Schizosaccharomyces pombe: one gene and its partners. Changing the gene in region 3 together with the main gene of any one other region gives a genetic interaction. Each region holds a gene or a part of one and is shown on either strand. Other genes may lie near its edges. The genes, in order: tip41, aly3, gad8 and gpa2.

Region 1 (4,657 bases), 230 kb from region 3:
TTCAAAGTAATTATTTACAAAAAAGATTCATGGTTTTGCATAATAAACATGACCGTTCGTCAATTTATTAATCATTAGAGTAGCAATCATTTATTAATCAAATATTTGTTTGTGCACTTTCTTCAGGTGGGACGAAGTGTACTCCCTTCCCATTGATAAAGTCATCGGTTGATAAACATGACAGGCGATAAACATTGAGGCGAATAAATTTAACAATAGTCTCAAGAATTACTAAGTCGACGTCTGGGCGACCAACGAAAAGGTTACGCCAAACGGATGTAGCCAAAACAGCATCACTTCCCAGCATTCCTTGATCATAACCAAAAATGGCGCCGGTCTGTTGCTGAAACAGATCTTTCAGATACATACCAGAAATTCGATTGCTATTAATGCGGTAATCTTTATGAATTCTGAGTTCCATGTCTTCAAAGAAACGAGTAGTTAATGCCTGTGAAAAGGCAACTTTTTCATTTTTTGGCAAACCACGAATGCGAGTATGGAGGATCCACAAATGTAATTGCGTTATTTGAAACCAAGACTGAAATGTCATAGGAATTTCACACTTCTGGTACCAAAATTCAAAAGCACCTAGCGAGTTTTTTTCGGGGGTAGCTTGTCGAGCAGCCTCAAAATACATGTATCTTGCAGTACCAGTAGCCTCATAATATAAATTTTGTTTAGGAGAGATATATTTTTGATAAATAAGACTTATTTTCTTTAGAAAACTATTTGGCGGAGCCACTTTACGTGGATCTTGAGGAGGTGTAAGGGGTTTGTATCTGAGTTCTTCTACTGGGTCTCTTCTCTTCGTTTCCGAAGGTGAATGATTAATAACATTTATTGGAGAAAATGAAAATCTTCTTCTTAAGGGACCGTATATACTCTTCCCCCATACCGGCTGCTTAACAAATGCTGGTCTCAATGGCAAATTTAAACAGCAGCGACTCATTACTGAATGACGATAAGGATCTTTTGATAATCTTTTCTTAATTAATAAAATTAATTATTACCTGCAAATAAATACGTAGGAGTTGGGTTGAAATAAAAAACGGATCGATTAATGTCGTACAATATAAAGGGGAAGAGAGGTTGTGACAGGTTGATTGCCAAATACAATGTTATAACGAACGATCAATATTACGAGGCCATCATTCTTCCTAATTAAGTATACTCTAAAATTTACTGGACCATTTTAAATTTGTTTGCAGTTTCAGTAGTATATCTTCGCCGTTTAATCGTACCAAAGATTGTATCTATTTATTTTGCTTTCTCAATTAGAAAACCTAAATTAATAACCTCTTAGTTGAAAATGATTATAAATATTACCATGAACTAAACGTAATAAACTTGTAAATTGCTTCAACACTCATTCGTTGACAAAAGTTCTAAATTCTCATGTCTGCCATTAGCGAATCATTTTAGCATCAAAAATTCAATTTATAGATTTTATGGTCAACGGTATCAAGGCGCTCACTTAACCAATTGTTATCATCTAGCAATGCAGCTTTGTCTCCCCCCACAGGTATTTGTTTAATAATTTTGTCGTAAGTAGCTTGCTTTTTACGGCAGTCCTTCAAGAGAAAATCATTCAACAAATCAATATATATCCTCGTCTCATTCAATCGAACATTTACCTTGTCTAAACGTACGACAAGGCGTGCTAACAATATTAAATGACCCTGAACAACTCGAGCTCTCACATCAAACATTGATTTTCCATTATCTGCTAACTCATCTTCGAAAAGAATTATCTCATTGAACCATAAATTTTGTCCTGCGTTAAGTATTTTTTGAACAGGTATTACCTGATCAATTTCAATGAATTTTGCATTTGGACGTTGTATAGTTCCCTGATAATCAGTATAATAAGTCCAATCAAATGGGTAAATCACAGGGTATTCTTCTCCGGGCTTAATTCTGGATTTGGCCCAGTCTTTTGCAAAAGAAACTTGCATTACATCTTCAGGTTTGGTACCAACCATTTTAAGAGCATCTTCAGTAAAAAATCCAACTACAGGCTGATTCTTGTATTCAATTGAGATGTAATTATTCCCAAAGGTCATCTCAGGAGGTGGAAAACCCAATGTACTTTGAAGGTTCTCCATCTCATGGCTTTTTAAAATTGACCCCCGTTGGACTTTGATAGTCCAATATTTAAATGAAAAATCATCTTGTTTTTGCATCTCCTTTAAATAATGTGATTTGAGTAGTTGCTTGACCCCTATATTATTGTAACAATTTAGAGTGCGTACGGCAAAATATAGGTAATGTAAATTTAGCCAACACAAAACACCTTTATATTACTTTACTCATTATAGAGTATATTCAAAAAACCAAAAGTTGATTAATTATTCAGATTAAAAATGAAAAATGATCTATAAGTATTAATTCAGTAGTTATATAATTTCAGTTCAACTCCCTCATTTAGTAAATCCGATAAGTAAAAATTATTCAAAAAATACATTAAGACGATTAGTATTCATAAATTCAGATATTAAGCCATAAAATTCACGTATTCTTGTAACCATAATTTCTCAGTACCCCTATCTAGAGCAAACGAGCGTGAATTCATCACCTGAAGCCATTTTTGGCAAACCTTTTTAGAGTCCGCAAACAACTGAACATGCCTTCTATCAACAGATGTAGCCAATATTCCAGCTACTAGACCGAGGTTTGAAACTGCCTCTGAAAAATTTACCATTGGGATTGAAACTACTGTCTTAGAAAGCTGAAAAGTATCCAAATATTGCCCACCTTTTTCAGCATAAAAATTCAGCTGCTTTGAGCGTAAAACGACAAAACGTCTTCGAATAGATGAATCTTCCAATCTATACAAGTATCCCTCATTATATAGATAGTTACTTCTAACGTGTCGCAAGTCCATCGTAGCTTGTTCTAAGGTAAATGGCAATTCCTGCTCTGGAACCGAAAGCTCAGGAATATACAAACAAGTCAAAGTTAGATTACCAAGTGTACGTTTCCCTATAGAGTTTATTTTTACAGGAATCGCTTCCAAGAAGCCTCTGGAAATGATGGGTATTTCTACGTTGAAAGCCTTTCCAAAACAACTGTCTTTGACATTACCCAAATTTAACGTAGCAGTACCCGAGACTTTCTTGATAACCACTGACTTCTTAGCCTTTGAATTCTCAACTGCAGCAGCCTTGTTGAGTTTTCTCTTTTTGCGTCGGTTGAAAAGCTTGTCAAAAAATTTCCTAGCTTTGGATTTCGTTTCAGCAGGCTTACCGTTTGAAACGTCTTTTGTAGCAGATACTCCTTTCGAACCGTTGGACTTGTCCTCAATAGGGATGTCAAGAAACATAAAACTCACTTTAAAGTTATCGTCAACATGAAAAGCAAAATCATGGTCCAACCTATTATTCCCATTAACAGCTTGCCAAGGAAGCTGCATATTTTGCGTAGGCGTATTAACTATTATCTTGATAGGTGAATGGACTTCACTTATCGAAATATTCAAAATGCTGTTCAAATGTATATAAAAGCGACCAAGTGGCAAGGGCGCCTTTGGTTTCTCTTCAAAAAATGTTTCATTCACAAATCCAAGAGAAGTAACAGGACGTGGTGATTGATTTTCAGTACCATTCGGGACTTCGTAAGACGTACTCTTATCCTGACTTGGAAGATCAAGGCGATTCAAATCAAAGGAATGTGCACGACTTAAAAGTTCGCTATCTCTGGCTACAGGCGTAGACTGCCTAAGTTCATCAATGCTGGCGGATATCTCGGCACTAGGGTCGTAAAAACCTACTGTACCAGTTTCCGAATAATTCCATCCTTCGACGTTATGGGACTCAGAACTGACTAAACTTTGGCTAGACTTGTTTGGCTCATTTTCACAATAATTACTATAAGTACGCTTCGTTCCTGGTACGGGTTGCATTGATGGGTGACGTAAATCTTCAGAGCTTAAAATAGCACTCAAATTGTCAATGGTAGAACTGCTTTTTATACGACCACGTTGACTAGATATACTATATCCCACGGAAGCAGAAGTTAGATTGTATCTGGGGACTTCATGATACGTTACAGATCCATGACCATAGGCGGCCTGAGATTTCGGAATTGAAGTGGCACTAATATCCTCATCCATATTTTCCTGTTGTAAAGAATCATTGATAATAGTAGAAATCTCAGGTTCTGAATTACGGGAAGATTGAAGGTATAACTCATCATAGTCTTTACCGTTGGTGGGAAGGGAAAGCTCAGAGAAATCATAAACTTTCCTAAGTGTACTAGCATAGGAAGATCCACTGGAAATCCGTTTTGCTTCCATCTTGGCCAAAACCTTTTTACGAAGACTTTCTGTAGAGATATCTGAGTCGTCTAAGGTGGCCTCTGGGACTGAAGAAAAAGGCTCTGAAGTATCTTCAACAGGGGCTTCCTGAATGGGAGCTAAAGGTTCTAAAGGTTTATAATCCATATCGAGAGACGCCGTCGTTTCGACCCTTTCCAACGCTGGATTGTCCTCTGTGGTATCTTTGGGAAGACTAGGAAGAATCCTTGGACCTACAGTAGAAGATGCAGATAGATGTGCTGGAGGTACGGGCTTGACATCAGATGGTATGCGAGCCAAGTTGGGAACGCTTCCAGCTCTTGCTCGGGCTGGGTTTGTAGACAGTTCATTATGGGATTGATA
Region 2 (6,774 bases), 610 kb from region 3:
GTTGTATATATACCTGAAGAATGAACGCCTCTACTTATTCCCAAACGCAACTTCCTGAGATAGTTGAATGACAAGTAGCTGAAGTCGATTCAACTACTTGAGAGATTTAAGCGTAACGTTTATCTTAGTGTGTTGTATATATTAAGACAAAAAGTATAAGGGCTCTTGCTTGGCTGACGAGAAAACACCCTTCTTTTATTTGTATAATTTAACGATTTATTTACTAAGAGTTTCCTCATTCACTGTACAACTCGTGAGCTACAGTATATTTGGGTGTCGGCGAATTGCTTGAACGATGTGAAGTGTTGTTTAGACACTTGAAAGATTTTATTTCGTTGTTTCATTGTTTGCTGTTTCACTCAGCTTTCGGGTTTTTGTTTTTAATATTATAATTCCCCAATTGCTGTGGCAATAGCAAATTGGTTGCAATAGTTCTGGTATAGAAAGGGAGATTTTATAGTGGGTAGAATTTCTTTTCACGGATATCGCTATTGTTTTTACCACTTTTCGTTCTCTTAGTCGTCTCGCCCTTAAATCCTTACTAATAGACAAAGAGGAGTCCCTTAAATATATTTATTCTTACTCTATTTTATTTTATTCTATTTTATTTTATTTTTTTCTCTTCACAATTTTCTTCATAATTAACTCTCTATCATAATGGCTTCTTCATCAAGTTCCAGTGGTTCTTCCTCTCCTGCAAGTAAAAGAAGCTCAAGGAAAAGACAAACACCTCCAATGCCAGAATTGCCATCTTTCCTTCTCGCGTTTCCACATGCACCACCATTGGGATTTCTACGACCTAAATTAAACAGCCTTGTCGTTCAAGTAAAACGACAGGGAATCACAGCTGAGCCCGTTTTTAACTTATACTCTCGTTTTTCCGTCCATACTTTGTCGCACAACTTGGTGTTGGATAATGTTTCCTCTGAATCAAATAAGACTTCTGCTGTCTTTTGTAAAAGACACGTTGGATCGAGTCAAGTCGTTATTAAAATTTATAGTCCCCATATCAAGGATTATTTACCTTGGACAATATCTTGTACAAAAAACGAATGGGTGTTTGACATGCTGGCATCGTTTAGTATCGAAAACAGTTTACGAATTAAGTGGGTTGCTCCTGACAAGGCAAAACTTAATGAAACTTGGAAGTGTTATTTGCATATTCAAGATGTTAAAAAATCCTACTTTTTAGCATCCTTAACGTCTCGTTCCTTACAATTTGAAGGGGGAAGTGTGGGTCTGAGTAACCGCATCATTACTCATCGTGAACTTGAAATGGTTATTTTGTCAACTTCTCTATGCGTTCAACTATCCCTACTAAATTTATTGCCCAATTATTTTCCAAAACCGTGAATTAATGTGTATTCGTGCGGAACTTCTGCTTATTCCTTATCTTTATGCTTTTTCTTAATAAATAATAATAATGGCGTTCTTTTTCTTTTTTGTTATTTATAAATTCTTGGGACTATTTTTATTTTTGTTCTATTGGATTGACATGCATTTTCCTTTTGATGATTTTCGCGTCATTAAAGATGTGCTTATTACGCATTTTATTCTCAATTTCATATATATTTATTGCCAATCTATTTCCTTCATGAAACCTTTCACTGCTGTCTAGAAATTGAAGCTTTTCTCCGTCCACACCTTTTACTTTTGATACCCCAAAGATGTCCTAAAAATCCCAGTAGCAAAGTACTTATAGACCGAAAAAAATAAAACGTTCCATCGTTTTTAAAAAAGCTACTCATGAGTCGTTTTGTTGCCCGCATTGCCCTTCATAAATTACCAAAATTTTCTTCCTTTCCGACTGGTTTACACGATACCGACCGTGTCTACTATCGTGACAATTTTTTATTTGTTATAGCTGCTGTTTATTTTCTTAATTTTAATGAAGCATAACATTTTATCCAACTGAATAGCTGTTTCTCATCTGTTTATTTTTTTGAATTTTAGATTAAAAAATTTAATATAATCTTATAGATTTTAAAATCACCTTTTCAATATTATAAGTAATTCCTATGTGCCCTAACAATATAATTCGACCAAATGTTAATAGTCGTACATAGCTCTCGTTATTTTAGTACAGAATTGTAGCGATAATTTAACAGTTCCAAAAAGGGTAGGGGGATGCAACTCTATATTTATTCCCATTTGATGCATTGTACTAACATTTGAGCCTCTTTCGATGGTAGCTTACCGATAACAATATAAGTCTTTCATTCACATATTAATATTAGTATAAAAAGTAACGATGTGGTCGTACATACATCAAGGTATAATCATATCAAGGAAATGTTTACAAATCGGAACGTTCAATATGTTCCTCCAATATCGAGGAAGCACTCCTTCTGTTCATGAAAATGTAATTAATAAAAACACTAAAAGACCTTAACCCATACTTCCACCAAAAATTTGAGGTATTCATATTATGAGATTTAATGCACTGGCAACCCGCCGACCACTGAAGGCTGGTAACGAGGCTTAACGGCTATCGTTGTGTATGACAAAGGCTTTCATATATACCTTTAAAGTACTTAATTGTTTACACCATCCACCCTATTCAGTCCCGCAACCGTTTTGGTTGAAAATTGCTACATTCCTTCCGATTTTTTGGATTCAAATCTGTTCGTAGATATTCAGAGATACAAAATCTGGTACAGCACCAGAACTTATTATGAATGAATAAGATTAAAGGTGGCCGGCACAAAAGCCCCGTAAAGCTCTTTGAAGTTCGGTAAGAAATCACTCTTTTTCGTGTTTATATCAAGATTTGAGAGGCCAGGATAGTGGTTAATCTCTCTGCAACATCTTTATAATTGCTTTGTTTCCGTTTACGAAATAGTGTTTGGGGATTTTTCGAATTAATGTTTAGGTTTTAAGTCTTCGGATGTTGAAAAAAGCTTTTAGTTAGCCATCAAGTTAGTATAACATCTGAAATTGATTCAATTTGCTCGTTCAATAGTTTGCTATTTGATTGTTTCTGAAAATCGGCATTTTTCGGAATGGCCGAAGGAATTGGACGGGTAGGCGCTTTTTAGAAAATTTTTTTTTCTTTACAAAGCGCTGTCTTTATTCCATCTTTTTTAATACTTTTTCTAAGTTTTCTACTTATTTCCCTACATTTTTTTTTTAAATTTCCCCATCTTTGTTTTGTAAACATTTTAAGCTTCAGTTTTCTATATACTGCGTTTGATTTACTTTTGACACATTTATTTATCTTAAATATTTCTTGTTATATATATACGCATCAGACTGGCTAACTTCTCGTTTGTAGGCTTTACAATGCAGAGGCTAATGTGATTGTGCTATATGGAAACTCGATGGACACATCGGCACGATTATCAGGTATCGTAGTTCTTTCTGTATCTTCCCCCATTCGGGTAAAGAATATTAAATTACGGCTAAGTGGCCGTTCTTTCGTTTGGTATGGTTTAAAACTCCCATTAATAACTTAACCTCACTTAGGGCTAACACTTTTTTTATAGTTGGGCTGATGAGTCCCGTCATGCATCGCCTGGTAACAGAATTCGACGTCAAGTTGTACAAATTCTGGATAAAAGCTGGTCTTTCCTTGCTCCCAACGAGTCAGCTAAAGTAATTGACCAAGGAAACTACGAGTATCCTTTTTATTACGAGCTCCCTCCAGATATTCCTGATTCAATTGAAGGAATTCCAGGATGTCATATTATCTATACACTCACTGCTTCTTTGGAGCGGGCAACTCAGCCTCCTACCAATTTAGAAACTGCTCTGCAGTTTCGTGTTATTAGGACTATTCCTCCAAATAGTCTTGATCTTATGCATTCAGTCAGCGTAAGTGATATTTGGCCCCTTAAAGTTAATTATGAAACAAGTATTCCATCTAAGGTGTATGCAATTGGCTCAGAAATACCTGTTAACATTACTTTGTATCCTTTATTAAAAGGCCTTGATGTAGGAAAAGTGACTTTAGTTCTTAAAGAATACTGTACGCTTTTTATTACTTCCAAGGCCTATTCTTCTACATGTAGAAAGGAGTTTAAGCGTGCATTAGTAAAGAAGACCATTCCGGGATTACCAATGGTGGATGATTATTGGCAAGACCAAATTATGGTAAAGATTCCAGATTCCCTTGGCGAATGTACTCAAGACTGTGACCTAAATTGTATCCGAGTCCATCACAAACTAAGGTTGTCCATTTCGTTATTGAACCCTGATGGCCATGTATCAGAACTACGGAATTCTTTACCTTTAAGTCTTGTTATATCCCCAGTGATGTTTGGTGCTCGACCCACTGAAGGAGTATTCACTGGTGATCACAATTCCTATGTGAATGAAAATATTCTTCCAAGTTACGACAAGCATGTATTTGATGTATTGTGGGATGGCATACCCTCGGAAAATCCACAGTTGCAAAGCGGGTTTACTACTCCTAACTTAAGTCGTAGGAATTCTTCCGATTTCGGTCCAAACAGTCCAGTGAATATTCATTCTAATCCAGTTCCTATTTCTGGACAACAACCGTCTTCTCCCGCTTCAAATTCCAATGCCAATTTTTTCTTTGGAAGCTCTCCACAGTCTATGTCTAGTGAGCAGACAGATATGATGTCGCCAATAACTTCTCCATTAGCACCTTTTTCAGGAGTTACGCGGAGAGCCGCTAGGACGAGAGCTAACAGTGCCTCTTCTGTTTTCAATTCTCAGTTGCAACCATTACAAACGGATTTGCTTTCACCACTTCCTTCTCCAACCAGCAGTAATTCGAGGTTACCTCGTGTACGTAGCGCATGTACCCTTAATGTACAGGAATTGAGCAAAATTCCTCCGTACTACGAAGCTCACAGTGCGTTTACTAATGTCTTGCCGCTTGATGGGCTTCCCCGTTATGAAGAAGCTACAAGACCTTCAAGTCCTACTGAGTCTGTCGAGATTCCTAGTAATACGACGACTATAGCGCCATCTCCTGTACCCACTATCATCGCACCAGCGCTTCCTTCAACTCCTGCGCCTCCGCTTCCTTCCCATCCTATGGCAACTAGGAAAAGTCTTTCTTCTACAAATCTCGTTCGAAGGGGAGTTCGATGAGCGTCTGTTAAAGTGGTTTATTTTCATTCCCTATGATCTAAGATCATTAATTTTAATGATTTTAAAAGTAAATTGGGTTACAAGCATGTTTGTTTTAAGCATTGATCTTTCTGTTTGTGAAAATGCGTGACGCCTTTTTTTCCAAAATATGGATTGTCTGAATTGAATCCAAAAACACTCAAAGTTCGCATTCTATGTTTTCAATTGCATATTATTTGCTAACATTGAAATTATCTTACCGAAATATATAATCTGAAAAAGCATGAAAAATTATGATTACAGCATGTCAAGCATACAAATTATTAGCGAATTTGGTATGAAAAGTTTTGAAAAAGTTGTGCAGCTTATATACGATATTTAATGATATTTAAATTACTTATACCGAATCAAGTTAATAAATAAATATTCACAAAGTCGAGTCAAAGTATTACTATAATTGTTATTGAACCAGCTAAAATGAAGAATTGACAGATTTGGTAACCTTGCGCTAACCTTTTGTTAATGAGATTTGATGATTTGAATTTTTGGGGCATCAGTAAATAAAGAACTAAAAAAGGTGTTCATAAACTCGATAAAACAGATTCATTAATGAGAGTTTTTTGCTGTCTTTGGTTGCAAAACTACCTTTCCTTTGTCGTTGATATATGATGTGAAACCTGCCTCTTCTAATGCATCAGAATGTGTAGTTGTAATTGGAGTTAAACCCCCTATAATCTTTTGATTTTCTATATTATTTTGAAGAAGTAAACGAGTACAGAGTACTGAGATTTCGCGGATATACGGATTCCAATCATCATAATTTGCTTGAGAAATAATTAAAGCAACACCATTGAAATGGCGGACCAAGTCAGGTGCAGTACTAAATTTGGAACAAATAAAAGCGATAAATCTAACGCATTCTCGCTTTACACCTACAACAGCATTGTAGAGTTCTTGTAACTCCATAGAGGAAGCATATGTTTTTTCAACAAGGGTCTTTTTGGGAATTCTTTTGTCAAGTACGGCAAGCAAATGAATTATTTCGCTGATCGAAGAAGACGGTTGACTCGTTTCAAATTCCATATCACCCAGCGAACTTGAATCATCGTTCTTTAAAGATATAGTTGTATCATAAGAAACATAGTCTCTGTACAATAAATCGACACCTAACATAACAATTTCAGAGAAATGATTAATATGGTCAAGCCCGGCAGACGAGATTTCTTTGGTAAAACATTCTTCTAACACAGACGCGAATTGGCGTCCAACACAAGAGAGTACATCTAAAATAACATAAAATCCTGTAGCGGTTTCTTTTAGCTTAATTTTATGACTCATGCAGTCGATCAAGAAATAAATAGATTTAGGCCCAATTTTAGAAGCAACATTTACTAGAACATTAGGGAAGTTGGACTTTAGAATTCTTTCAGCAATATTGAACATTACATCTTCCCGAAGCCAGTCCGGATGTGAGTCAAAATCGAAAATGATACTCAGCAATCGTATACCAGATTTCGAATGACAAAGTTCGAAAAGTCGCTGATCATCCACTCTTATGAGCGACCATAGAGCTATTTCAAGCGCAGTGCACTGAGCAGGATTCATGGGAACAGGAAGGAAAAAATCCTCATTATCCATTAAAAAAGCCCATGCTTCATTTTGCAGAGGCGAATTGCCAGCAACAGAATTTGCAAAAATTTGCCATGGCAATGAGGAAAAACTATCATTTGA
Region 3 (6,510 bases):
ATAGAGAAAAACCTTGGACCTGTTAGTCGCATAGCACAAGACAGTGCAGGTGCTCTTCAAAATGAGAAAGGGAAATAAACATTCGCTTCGGCAGTAAGAAAAGACCTTCAATCCAGTAAATGTCAACTTTGTGATATTTTTACAGAATCGATTCGTTTGATAAGCCGGAATTGCTTTTTTCTTGTTTTTTTAATACTCTGAGTTAGTTCTTTCTGATTCTACCTTATCGACAGACAGAAGCCGTCTTCCGGTTAAAGAAACCATATATAACGCAACAGATTTTTTTATTAAACAAAAATAACTATTCAGTGAATGAATTTTAACTTATTTTCTGATTGCAATCACGTTTCGATCGTATTTAGTAATTGCTGGTGGTGATATTGAAAAGTCAAAAACTTCAACTTCAGCCACCATTATTAATAAATCGTATTCAAAAGAGTTTTCTAAGTTTAATGATCTAATTTTCATATTTGAAATCCAACTTTTACTTCTCATTTTACTCAAGCTTCTTTGATATTCTACGCATCGGATCATCACTTTGCTCCACCATATAGGGACGAAAAATTTTGCACATGAAGCAGGATGCCTCCTCAAAAGTATCATTGCAACGTCTGCGCCCAAGATATAACAAGATCCATTCATATTCGGTGCGTAGAATGTGTTGACTTCGATTTGTGCATCCCCTGCTTTACATCTGGTGCCTCCCTAGGAACTCACCATCCGTCTCATCCGTATAGGATTATTGAAACCAATTCATACCCTATTTTCGACGAAAATTGGGGTGCTGATGAGGAACTCTTACTAATCGATGCTTGTGAAACACTGGGCCTTGGAAACTGGGCTGACATTGCAGACTATGTGGGAAATGCTCGGACGAAAGAAGAATGTCGGGATCATTATCTGAAAACCTATATTGAGTCGGATTGCTATCCATTAGCAAGCGTAGAGCTCCCTGGACCGGTGGATCGCATAGCATTTGCGGCACGGAAACGAGCTCGTATTGAAGCTTTTCAGCCTCCACCGATTATTCCTCAAAAGCCTCTAGCATCTACACCCCAATGCCACGAAATCCAAGGCTATATGCCGGGCCGTCTTGAATTTGATCAAGAGTACATGAACGAAGCTGAACTGCCCATAAAGGATATGAATTTTGATGACGATTTACACGAGTCAGCAAAGCATGAAATGCAACTTAAGCTGACTATGCTTAACATATATAATTCCCGTCTTACTCGTCGGGCTGTTCGTAAACAAACCATTTTCAATCACAACCTTTTAGATTATCGACGGCTACAGGCGAATGAGAAGCGCATGTCAAAAGAGGAACGAAACTTACTTAATAAAACAAAAGCATTTGCTCGACTTTTGACGGGCCCTGATTACCAAAAGTTCGTGAACAGCTATCACGAGCAAATAACCCTAAAAAAACAAATTTCTGATTTACAGGAATGGCGACAGATGGGTCTTACTACACTCGAACAAGGACATAAATATGAACGCGATAAAACGCAAAAATTCCTCTTAAGTAAAGCTTCTGCTTCATATGATAAGCAATTGAGGCATGTTAAGTCGTTTAACCAAACCACTTCCGCTCCTTTTCAAGTTCGTGACATTCAAAAGATTGTTCCTCGAAAACCAGCGACTCCCACAATGTTTTCTGCTTCCGCTGATCGGCAACTGCTTTCAGAGGATGAGCAAGCGCTTTGCTCAAAACTGCAGATTTTCCCTAAACCATTTTTGGCTCTAAAATTTGCCTTAATATCGGCTTCACTGACTTCCAAAAAACCATTTCAAAAAACCGATGCAGTTAATTTATTTAAACACTTAGACGCTAATAAAGTCGAACAGGTGTACGACTTCTTCCATAATGCTCGGTGGATTGGCGCTCCAACCTAAAAGTACTGGTTTCTTTTACCTTTTTCATATTACTCTTGTTTATTACCTTTACGTTTTGAAATGTAATTTTACTAATTACCCCTTCACCTTTAATTACATCTCCGTCTTTTTTTCCCTTTTCAATAGCCGTTACGTTCTTATGCTTAATAATTAAAAAGAGTTTTCCATCAATTTTCTACACTAGTAATTTCGGAAACTACAAGAACAAAAAACACTACATCCAACAATATCTGAGACTTTTTCTCAGCTGACAAAAAATAAATAATCTTCAAAGACTTGAGGTTGTCAGTAATAATAATAATAATAATGATAATAATAATAGTAATAGAAAATGATCTTGTACGACAAAAAAAGATGACAATAATGAGAAATGAACGAAGCTTTGGCCTTTATAACATACAAATATGTAAAAGAGGCAAGAAAAGCGGCATGTATGAGTAAAAATGAGAAAACTTTCAAAATAAACAAAGAAGTGTCAAATTCATCACCTAATGACACTTCCAGGTGCTATTGTATTAATGTCGTCGGATGTATCAATGGTTGTTGGTCGTTGATAGCTCCAATTGGCAAACCTTTGTTGAACGGTTTCAGATAAGTGAGAATCGGCAACAACACTATCCATTGGGATTTCCGATGTAAATTCAGAATCAAAATTACTAGTATCGATAGCTGATTCAACGCTTGGTTTAAAGGGTGGCTGTATCTTCTTGGCGCATAACTTTTTCCAGTCGATATCATCAAAGAAAGGGTGATTTTTTATTTCTTGCGCCCCTCCACTACCCAGCCGCTTCTCTGGAGCGCGGGTCAACAATCCACTCAATAAATCTTTTGCTTTCTCGTCAATGTTGTCTGGGAATCGCAAGGGATCTTGAAGAATTTTTCGGTACATTTCGTTTATATTTTCATCATAAAAAGGAGGAAGTCCTGTAATCATTTCGTAAAGTAGCACACCTAAAGTCCACCAGTCAACAACTTTTGTATAACCATGACCCAAAAGCAATTCAGGAGCGAGGTATTCAGGGGTGCCACAAAAAGTATTCGTTCTATCGGTTTTAGCCATGTTTAGCTTACAAAGTCCAAAATCACACAAAGCAATATGACCGGTGTAGTCTAATAATATGTTTTCCGGTTTTAAGTCTCGATAAATAACGTTGAACTCATGCAAACATTCCAAAGCAACAAGTAGTTCAGCAATGTAAAATTTGGCACGATATGTATCAAAACAGCCTTCTCTTTGTAAGTGATGAAATAACTCACCACCGTTAACAAAGGCCAGGACAAGATACAGCTTACCGGGAGATTGAAAGGAGAACTTTAATGGAACAATAAAAGGGTTATTAACTTGAGCAAGTACTGTCCTCTCAGCCAATGTGTGATCTACTTCACTGCGAGATACAATGTGGGCTTTTTTCATAGTTTTTAAAGCATAGATACGAGAAGTGTCACGCTTACGCACTTGCATGACTTTTCCAAAAGAGCCTTTGCCAACCACTTTCAATAGTTCAAATGCATCAATGGTTAAAGGGGTACTTTGATTGGGTTTGTAAAGCATTTGAACACGAAGTTCACCGCTACCCCCATGCAGGGGTACCCATTCGTCTGTAAGCTTGTTTACAATGAAAGAAGGCGACAGTTTAATCCCGCCTAGGAAAGCGTCATTCCCCATACCGTTGCGCGAGCGGCTGGATGAAGAACGAAGGTAAATATTCAGGGAGAGTTTGGAATAACGGGAAACGTCAAAAGTTGCCTGATAATCCCAGCAAGGATTTTCAAGGCTTGCAGTATTTAGAGCATCTACTAAGATTTCATTTTTGTCGAATTCAACGACGATATAAGGTAACCACCAAGCATGACTACGAGACCTTGCGTGTCCCGAGCCATTACTAAGTGGAGGGGCAAGTAAAGAATTGTCAATGGAAACCCCGTAGTTGGCAGGAACATGTCCCGACGGTAATTTTAAATTTCTAGCTTCTATAATTGTGACCTGCAATAAACCAGGCTGCACGACGGTACTTTGGGGAGACCGTTTATCCTCCGAGCTTTTCCGAGATTTTTCATCACTTGATTTACGAGAAGAAGTAGAGGATAAAGTACTGTTTTTCAGACCTCTAGTAAAACTAGAGCCGCCAGAGTTCAGGCCAATAGCGGATGCTAGATGAGTTTCTTTTAATTCTAAAAAGCGAAAAGCTGTTAGTATGAAAAAGAAAGACAGAGTGTGATAACCCGTATTATGGAATACATACTCTTTGTAAGTTTCCAGGACATTTCGGTAACGTCTGTTTGGAGTAGAAAAAAAAAATGAACTGATTTTTAAAAGCTCGCTTTCCCTCTATCTTTTCTTTTAATATAACGAAAATGATAAAGAATAAGGTAACGAGGCTGCAAAAAAGCTTCAATCTAACAAAAAACGTATTTATGGACTAATTCGAAGACAAAAACGGGAAGTGTACCAGTAAGCGAATACGAACGAACAATCAAATCAAATCCAAAAAAAAAATAAAATAAAAAGTAAGCACAAGTTGCAATTTTTTTTGAATAAACGAAAGGGGATACAGGCGTTTGGTAATGTCAGTATAGTAGTAAATTCGTCAAAGAAATCTAATCCCGATAAGTAGTAAGCAAGGGTGTTGATTTTAAAATTCAAAATAAATCGCAATCTCTTTTATTCCAAAATCCCTACTAAAGGAATGCTTCGTTGATAAAGTCGATTTCTAAGCCGATTTTGGTATTACGACTTTGAGCAAAGTCGCCTTCACCTCGCGGAAATTTTGACGAAATTGAAACCAATCGACAGCACTAAATACGTTAAAGTCAATGAAATAAAATTTGATGTCAAAAATGCTTTCGTTTGATATTCCCTTTGTTAGGTCGTATTGGCAGTCAGTAGATGTGGCCAGCTCGGATCATCCGTATTCCTAAAATACAAGTGGTACAAGACAGCAGCTTTTTGCGGCAGAACAACGTGAGTTCGATAAAATATTATAAGGAGAGCTACCGATACGGTCGGCACATTACGCAGGTTTGTCGTATAATGATCAAAAATTATAGACCCTTTTCTCGTACGATTGCACTATATATAAAAGTTCTTTGCAATGGTGTTTTACATATCAGCTATTAAATTAGTTAACTTAGTAATGTCAAAAAGATGGAATATTAATATAGAGAAATTAAAAGTGCTGGTGTACTCTTGTAAGTGGTAACTTGCTCAAGTTTGTAGTGACCTAAATTGAAACATAGGATTTATACTACACGTGTCAAGAAACAGCACTCAAATGGATCAATTTACAAAACGAAGTATATAGCAAAACAATACAAATAATTATCTTGACAATTATCTGCGGACAAACGCAAAATGCCGTTTACGCGTATGTGTAGCTTAGCAGACCAATTAACTTTATTTGTTTTAAAATAATTATAGAAGCATGTAAATACCACCGTTAGGATTGCAATATCCTCTTTACAAAACAAGTCATTTATTTATGCCTTCCATCAGATTTTTGCAACTTCCAAGTACGATGCGTTTTGTAAAATTTCAGTTCCTTGTGCAACAAGCGAAAAAAAAAGATAAAGCAATTTAACGGAAAAGCAATTTGTATACCAATGCTCTACTTTTAATACACTGGACGCTTCGTACAAGTCCTTCAAAGTGTATATAAATCCAAAGAGAACTGAAAAACAAAAAACATTTTCAAATAAAATAAAATAAAATAACATATAAAACAGAAATAAAACATGAACAATGAATTTATGAAAAGAACGAAATTTGTTGAAACTGATGACTCACTCAACTGTAGGCAAACCCTTACTTACCCATGAGAAAAGCAAATTCTTTTCGTAGTTACTTCTAGAAGGCTCCTCACTAGTAAAAGCGATGTTTCTTCAGAGTTTTGAATTTTCTCACAGAGAGCTCCCTTTGTGTGTTTTATTTAAAGGGATGAGACGAGTTTGCCAAAGCGCCTAAAAAAAGAAACCGGTTATCGAGCGCAGATATAGAATTGACAGTGTAAGTAGCAACAAAAATTTTAAAAGAGTAAAGTAGAATCAAAAACTATATCTAAGTTTAGAAAATCCCTAAAGAGAAATTTTCAGGTGAATGTTAGGGGGTAGGTTCCGGTTGAATTTTTAAAGGACTAAAGCGGCAAAAGCAGCAATGCTCAAGAGTGAAACAATCAATAATGAACTCTTGGAAAACCGGACAGGGGACCCACTCTCCATCAATTCGCGCCCTGTATTGGGAATGGATGCTGCGTATCCAATGGATCCGGCAGGTGCAGAAGTGTAAGTAGTAGATGGTTGATATTCGGTGTAACTATAAGGACTAAAAATAATATTAGTAATTTTACACAAACAAATAGTTTCCATAAAATGACAAGCATGACTTACAAAATGGTTTCTACACCATCCGACCAAGATTTGTCGGTGACAATCACAACATCGCTCACAGTAGTAGAGTAACTTGCCTGAGTTGAACTAGAATCATCATCCCTCTTAACAAATGGGGTCAAAGGAATTTTTGAGGGCAAAACACGATTAGCTAAATATACTGAGTTAGCTATTTCACATAGTCACAAAATATAAAGACAGAGACATAGAGAATAGAGAAGGGATGTAAAA
Region 4 (6,905 bases), on a different chromosome or scaffold from region 3:
AACAGTTATTTTCAATACTAAAAGATACAATTGCTGTTTAAATAAATAAAACTAAAAAGCTAGTTGTGCATTCAACGGCCATTTACATTGTTTTGGCAGAGCATCAACGGGCGTCTCTAACATGGGTGGTATAGTGTAAACGCGTATGACTAGGTATCAACGTTTGTTACCTAACTTTGCCTTAACATTACTTTTGCATGCATTTTCATTGTTGAAATGAGTATTAGAAGACTATTGGGAAGAGCATATGAGGTAAAAGCATAAATTTTTGAAGATTTTCTAATTTTTGGAATTATAAGATGATTTTTTATTTATTTTCGTACGGCCTTTGGATAAGCCAACAGCTTCGTTATAAGAAGTAGTAGTCATCAAGTCGAAGGTTATACGGTTACGCGGTTATGGACGAGAGTAAGCATTGGGTTATACGCTTACAACAAAAAATAAGAAAGCTAAAACTCTTGAAAAGAAATAAAAGCCACAGCGAAAGAACAGTAGCTGGAAAAACAGTTTCTTTCATCGTTTTCACAATAGATTAGAAAATCAGAAAGTCGGTTGTTCATGATCCACTTTTTTGCACACTGTAAATATAGATATTGGACATATTCTCAACCAACTGGCAAAAGAAAAAAATTAGGAAAAAACAAGATTACTCTATATTTTTTCCGTTGTCTTCTAATATTGACTTAGCTAATGATTGATTTATTCAATTATTTTCTTATAATAATTTTTTGAATTAAATTAACATAGTTTTATTTTAAACTGGGAAGCGCATCTTGCTCATAATTCAAATTATTGCCCTAAAACCAACATGAAACAGATCCGGCAAACTAGTTTCCACAATATATCGGGATATATCAAGATATGCAAGATATATAAGATACACATATATAAGAGATATAAGATACATATTCAATAATTGTCAAGGATACCTATAATCAAGCAAAAATTAAACTTACGCAAATAAGAATTTCATCTTTATAAAAAAAAAAAAACCATCAAAAAACAAAACAATATAAAAACCCTCCCACTACATGTGAATATCTTGGAAGACTTTTTTTTATAACTAGTACATGCTTTTATTAGTATGTAATGAATAAATGAACGAACAACAACGGATTGACTTCAGTACCACATAAACATTACGAAACCTAGCTAATTCTATCTCACCTGAAGATTATTTTATTTTAGCGGGGCAAATGCAGTCCTTCCCGAACCTCCAAGACTAAGTAACCAGCAAGTAACGGCATCAGGATATCTTACCATTCTTACCCATTAAATTTAAGGAACCGAATGAAATTAGGAACGATGAGCAGTTTAACAAAGTCCTCCTTATTTTTTTTGCGTTGAAATGTAGTTTGTAGTGTCAAGCTGCTTTGTGCTATTTATCGAGCAATGAGAAATAGGAGAGGAGTTATGGTAGCAGGGTATACTTAGTAATGTTTTCATGGACCAAGCGGGGGAGGGGCGAAAAGCATGTCTAGTTCGCTGTATTCAGTTTCAAGACCCCATTTCATGTTTAACATTTGTTCTAGATACGCAAAAATCCCTTTTTTCTAGATTGTTTGCAAGTCCCCATGTCTTCTTTTTTTTATACAGCTGAAAAATTTTCCGACTGTCAGGTAAAACTGGTCAGTTGCGAAAACATGCTTTGCTTCATCTTGGTACCCAATCGTCTATGGATTTTTTATATGTTTCTTTCTAGCTTTGTGATAGCTGCCCACGCTTTGCGATCAAGTTAGTTGCCTTATCCCTTGTGCACTTTACTTTCATATCTGAGTAAATAAGTCTCCGTAACTGGAATTGAACTTGGTAAAATTGGGGCTTGAAAATTTAAAATATTATGAAAGTGAACAAACTCAGATTGGGAAAACACTCATTAAACATTGCTTGGAAAGATTGCGCGTTTTTTGGAACACTTCCTTTGGTCATCTTTGCTATCCCGATTGCTTGCATCTTCAGCCATAAACAAGGGACGACTCATTGAGTTACTAGAGTAGTAATAGAGCAGTATAGTTTAGTAGTATAGAAATGCTGGACCAACCAGTTAATGACATATAAACATAAAACATAAAAAACTATTTTGATGAGCGGCGCTTCTCTATGCGATACTTACATAGAATGCAAAGCTCACACAGGTCTCAGCTTACTGCCTGCTCCCCTCGCCCAAGGTCATAATCGAAGAGTAAGACTTACACTCCAATCTTCTTTACTTGAATGATGCTTGTTTGGTGGTATGTGTTGGATCCTTTTCCAATGTTACATTTTCCGAACTGTCCTCTCTACCCCACTCGAAAAATTAAAATCGTAAATGGATGATGCATGACGTAGTGCCTCATAAATACAAATTATACCAGAGTTGCCGTCTGTCTTTTTCGAAATAGTATAGACGAAATCACCGCTCAGGTACCAATCTAACCATAGTTGTTAGCTACTTAAGCTGTTTGAAGCATCAAAACGCTTGCCCTTTTGCTGCTGCTTGTTGGATTTAGGGTAGTGTGAATTGAAAGTAAGGATTTAATTGTACACTCGGTTAGTTGGACAGTAGTAAGAATTGAGATATTTTGCCTCTAATTCTTCTTTCTTCCTTGTACAATTCTTAATTTTTTTCTCGTTCATCGAAAGACGACGAGAAATCAATTTTCACGAGTTTCTCATTTGTCGCTGCATCTCTTCAACTGATTTCAGCCTTTTCTTCTTGCCTTAATCAACCTTGGTATTCACTCGTACTCACTGTGTCAATTAGCTAGCCGGCTAGCTTCCGACCTGCGATCCTTCCTCATTCTCCTCCACCCCCTGCTTTTCGAGGCATCTGGTGAAACTCAAAAAAAAGTTGAAATTGCGATTTAAAGGTCGCCCATAAAGGGGGTTAATCAAACTTTGCGCGTATAGTTTAGTGACTGACTAATCAATATTTTGATTATTGATTCCTATTCTGTAATATCCCCTTTTGACACCCGCACCCTTGTTCCTACTTAATCATACTTGCTACCTCAACTTTTTTTTTAATACTTTTATTTATTTGCGTTTCACTTTTCTTTCTAACTTGCTCTCTTTCCATTTTATTATTTAATCTTTGCTTTAATTGGGAAAAGAACTGGATTGAAGGCTTTTCTTGGAAAGTCCTCGCCTCTCTGCTGCTACACCTTACCTACCTGCGTTTAACCTTCTTACTTTGTTTCATATTTATTTCTCCCATCTTATCCCAAAAACCCGCTAGCTGTCGGATTGAGAAGTTTGGTGTCCTACTACATCCCCGTATTTATATTCTGCAGTAGTGGATTAAAAAAAAATGACGATTTTTAATGGATTATCTGAAAGCGGTGAATCAAAAAAATTGAACAGCAAAATCGAAAAGCAGATTGAAAATGCCTCGAAGAAGGATAAAAAGATTTACAAAGTGTTGCTTTTAGGTACGTAAACTACTCAATGTTGTTGTTGTTGTTCAATAGTTATATATGCTTGGGCAGTCGAGCAAAAAAGCAGAAAAGATTGAGAAAAAAAATAAAGAAACGAAATGAGTGAAACTATTTACGAAACAGAGAAACTGTTTAAGAAATGACAGAAAATGGTTTGTCTAATTGCGTCTACGTTCTCTACTCTTGGTTACCCTTTCCCTTCAATACTCAGTCAGTGAAGGTGACTTTGATAACGTTCTTCTAGTTAACCACTTTTCGTCGTCGTTGCATGTTGTAATCAGTTGCTCTACACTCTTACCGTTTCTCTCCATTGCATAGCACAGATTTTTTGTTTGATTCCTATAGCAAATTTTCCTTCCTTTGTTTCTTACAATCGTCAGTCTAACCATTGTTTTCTAGGTGCCTCCGATAGTGGAAAAAGTACCATCAGTAAGCAAATCAAAATTCTCAACAAAAATGGGTTTAGTCAAGAAGAGATTATGACATTTATTCCGGTGATCCGACGAAACCTGTTGGAATCTGCTAAAACCCTTGTTAAAATTATCGTTCAAAAAGGTATCAACTTGGACCCTTTAGGAACCCACAATTGCGAGATAATCGAAAAATTTAATCCAACTCCTGGTGAGCTTATTAATGCTAATATTGGCCAAGCTATTACTAGTCTTTGGTCAGCCAATAGTGTTAGATCCTGTACATATGGAAATGATTCCGTACTCATTGACTCTGCCCCTTACTTTTTTTCGCGAGCCGATGAAATTTGCAGTCGGCATTATGTCCCTACAATAGATGACATTCTCCGGTCTAGAAATAGTACTCTGGGTATTTCGGAAATATCGTTCACATTGGATCATTTGCAAATTCGAATGTTCGACGTTGGTGGTCAAAGAACCGAACGAAGGAAATGGATTTATTGTTTTGAAAATGTGAATTCAATCATATTTTGTGTTTCCTTAAATGATTATGATAAAAAGCTTTATGAAAGAGCCGCCCCAGAACGCAATCGTTTGGTTGAAAGTATTTCTTTATTCGACTCTATTATAAACAGTCAGTGGTTTATGCATTCTTCTATCATTCTGTTTTTGAACAAATTTGATTTGTTTCGGAAGAAACTGGAACATGTTCCGTTCCAGGATTACTTCCCCCAATATGAAGGTAAAAATTCTGTTAAAAGTATTACCCGGTATATTCTTTGGTTATTTGTGAACCCTTCTATAAATCGGGCTAAGCATAATATATATCCTCACATTACCACCGCTGTAGACACATCTAACATAAAGGTTGTCTTTTCTGCCGTTAAGGAAACAATTCTACAACACAGTCTGAAAGAAGCGGGAATGTTTTAATTTTAATTTGAAGATAAAATTTACCCTACCATTATTCATATGTTAACAGAAGACCTCTTACTGTCTGCATATGTCTAGAGAGTTCTGAAGCCTCCTTGTAAGAATCGCTTCTTTTACATTCGTTTATTTTTTTTTTTTAATATTGTCCGGAGTTTATTACACATGTTCTTTAAAAATATTTTTCCAATATATACATTGGCTGCTGGAATCTGAAATCACCGATTTGTCTGTAAGGAAAAGGATCGATCTCCTTTTCAGTTGTCTCAGAACGTTCACAGATTGCTATTAAATAATCTCTTTAAGATGACCAAGTTATACAGTTCTAGTTGATATAAATATTTTGTCATTTTTGCGAATATCAATTTGCATTTAATTTTTTACTTTAAACGATGCTGCTGGCGAATGCTTTTAAAGTTATTGAATACTTTCTGTTGAACATAGTCTTAAGATTGAGAAAGTAGATCTCCAGTTTTGATTCGAACATCTATCTCTGCTTTCAGAACTATTGCTATCACTTAATGCTGCTATTTATGAGGGTCGTAGAAAATCCGTTTGAGTACTAAGAGACTTTGAGTGGATACATGATTTAATCGCTTTTGTTTTAGTATTTAGTTTTTAATTGTTAGACTACTTGTATAGACTATTTCACTGAATCATCAAAATTGTTGTCTCTCTTTGTTGGCACCAGAGACTGATACTTTTTACCGACTTTCAGTATCTTTTCTTTAATATATTAATTTACTAATCAAAAAAGCTATTGAACACGTGTATTTCTGCCATGTATAATAAAAAGCCGCACTGTTCTGTATACGTATCAATTTGATTAAATTAGATAGTAATACTACTACATAGATATTCGTTACCCACTTTTAGCTTCTACTTTAGTATATCCACCCATCTTTGTGTTACTGCAGGTTTATTTATTTCAATATTTATTTTGTAAAAACAATTAAGTACATTCGTTAACTAATTATGAGAATTATTGCACTTCCTTTGCCAAATCAAAGGGTATTCTTACATTGTTATCCTTCTGAATACCTTGCCAAAAAAGTTACTATTCACGACAAAATTATAAACAGAATTTACAAGTATTGGGACTCCTGGAGTGCTTCAAAAAGCTATACCAAACAAAAGGTTGTGTCTTTGGGAAACCGAATTTTGCATGCAACTCCTTATGAAGAAAATTTTTTAAGGGCGATTGCTCCTGTTAAGAAGCTAAATGATACAGAATTACACCAAACTTTGTATATTGAACATCCTCCAAATTTGGAATCAAGTACTATTTTAGCTGAGTTGAATCGGTCCAAACAATTACAAAAGACCCATACAAATTACCTTATTGGTAATATTATTGGATTACCATTGACTATACCTTTCATTCTCATACCTCTAATACCAAATATTCCGGGTTTTTATCTTTGTTATAGAGCATACTGCAATTTTCGTGCTATTCAAGGGTCTATTCAATTAGCTCGGGTAATGAGCATAGAAAACATTCAAATGCAGGAAAGTGAAAAACTAGAAAAAGCATTGAAGTTGTTTACAAATGGAGATGCTACACCATTAAACGCTCTCATAGGCCACCCGGATTTCGTGGACCGCTACAAACGTGCCGTTGCTCAGGAGCAACGGAAATCAAAAATAATCAAATAAGAATATTTTTTTCCTTCTATTTTATGAAGTCCTTTGCATATAAAATCAATGACCTAAGTAGTGTGCAATCGTCGTTCCGGTCATAGTTATGCCATAACATTATTGCGCAGCTATGAGTAAAAAGAAAGTCCCAAACTGATATGAGGAGTGGAATTTTATATCAAGAAAACATCTTCCTTTTTTATTTTAAATATTAAAACTCCCATTCTTTTGTTCTTTCTCTTATTAGTGGTTGGCAATCGTTCATTCTTTTCTGGGGTTCTTTCTTTCTTTTAATCTTCTTTCCATCTTTCCTTTAAAAAATAATCTTCTCATATTTATATCTTGATTAATATATATTCTCATGGAAAAAGGTCATAGCGACTTACCTAGGCAGCCAGAGAGAGTTGCTCAAAACCCATTTTTGACATTTGATCAAGATAGCTTTCCTTCTAGCTATGGATCTTCTTTAAATGTTTCAGAGCAAACTTCTGGATCTTCAAGCACTTCTCCA

What was found.
Region 1: of gad8 (region 3) and tip41, changing one suppresses a phenotype caused by changing the other (phenotypic suppression), as found in Schizosaccharomyces pombe (one study listed by BioGRID).
Region 2: of gad8 (region 3) and aly3, changing one suppresses a phenotype caused by changing the other (phenotypic suppression), as found in Schizosaccharomyces pombe (one study listed by BioGRID).
Region 4: of gad8 (region 3) and gpa2, extra expression of one rescues a mutant of the other (dosage rescue), as found in Schizosaccharomyces pombe (one study listed by BioGRID).

What each region holds. Positions count from the first base shown.
Region 1 is NC_003421.2:1,144,959-1,149,615, forward strand, and holds tip41 (TIP41 type 2a phosphatase regulator Tip41), read right to left. Parts: upstream 2,272-4,657; 5' UTR 2,184-2,271; coding exon 1,425-2,183; 3' UTR 1,257-1,424; downstream 1-1,256. Other genes in the region: ubiquinol cytochrome-c reductase assembly protein Cbp3, read right to left, coding at 98-949; anillin-related medial ring protein Mid1, read right to left, coding at 2,495-4,657. UniProt on the Schizosaccharomyces pombe protein: Involved in negative regulation of the TOR signaling pathway in response to type of available nitrogen source. Activates the PP2A phosphatase ppa2.
Region 2 is NC_003421.2:1,519,096-1,525,869, reverse strand, and holds aly3 (arrestin-related substrate adaptor Aly3), read left to right. Parts: upstream 1-2,549; 5' UTR 2,550-2,678; coding exon 2,679-2,734; intron 2,735-3,274; coding exon 3,275-3,424; intron 3,425-3,485; coding exon 3,486-5,064; 3' UTR 5,065-5,514; downstream 5,515-6,774. Other genes in the region: SPOM_SPCC584.16C (uncharacterized protein), read left to right, coding at 658-1,353; mug160 (ATXN10 family protein), read right to left, coding at 5,650-6,774.
Region 3 is NC_003421.2:910,768-917,277, reverse strand, and holds gad8 (serine/threonine protein kinase (AGC family) Gad8), read right to left. Parts: upstream 4,779-6,510; 5' UTR 4,162-4,778; coding exon 4,140-4,161; intron 4,069-4,139; coding exon 2,381-4,068; 3' UTR 2,040-2,380; downstream 1-2,039. Other genes in the region: SAGA complex subunit Ada2, read left to right, coding at 583-1,896; SPOM_SPCC24B10.06 (uncharacterized protein), read right to left, coding at 6,019-6,214, 6,280-6,430. UniProt on the Schizosaccharomyces pombe protein: Involved in a signaling module for sexual development and cell growth under stressed conditions. Required for G1 arrest under nitrogen starvation and for growth at high temperature and osmolarity.
Region 4 is NC_003424.3:2,514,700-2,521,604, reverse strand, and holds gpa2 (heterotrimeric G protein alpha-2 subunit Gpa2), read left to right. Parts: upstream 1-2,365; 5' UTR 2,366-3,289; coding exon 3,290-3,410; intron 3,411-3,573; exon of another isoform or gene 3,574-3,815; coding exon 3,816-4,759; 3' UTR 4,760-5,552; downstream 5,553-6,905. Other genes in the region: SPOM_SPAC23H3.12C (hydrogen/potassium transport protein), read left to right, coding at 5,732-6,412; SPOM_SPAC23H3.11C (glucosidase), read left to right, coding at 6,756-6,905. UniProt on the Schizosaccharomyces pombe protein: Alpha subunit of the heterotrimeric guanine nucleotide-binding protein (G protein) involved in glucose-induced cAMP signaling.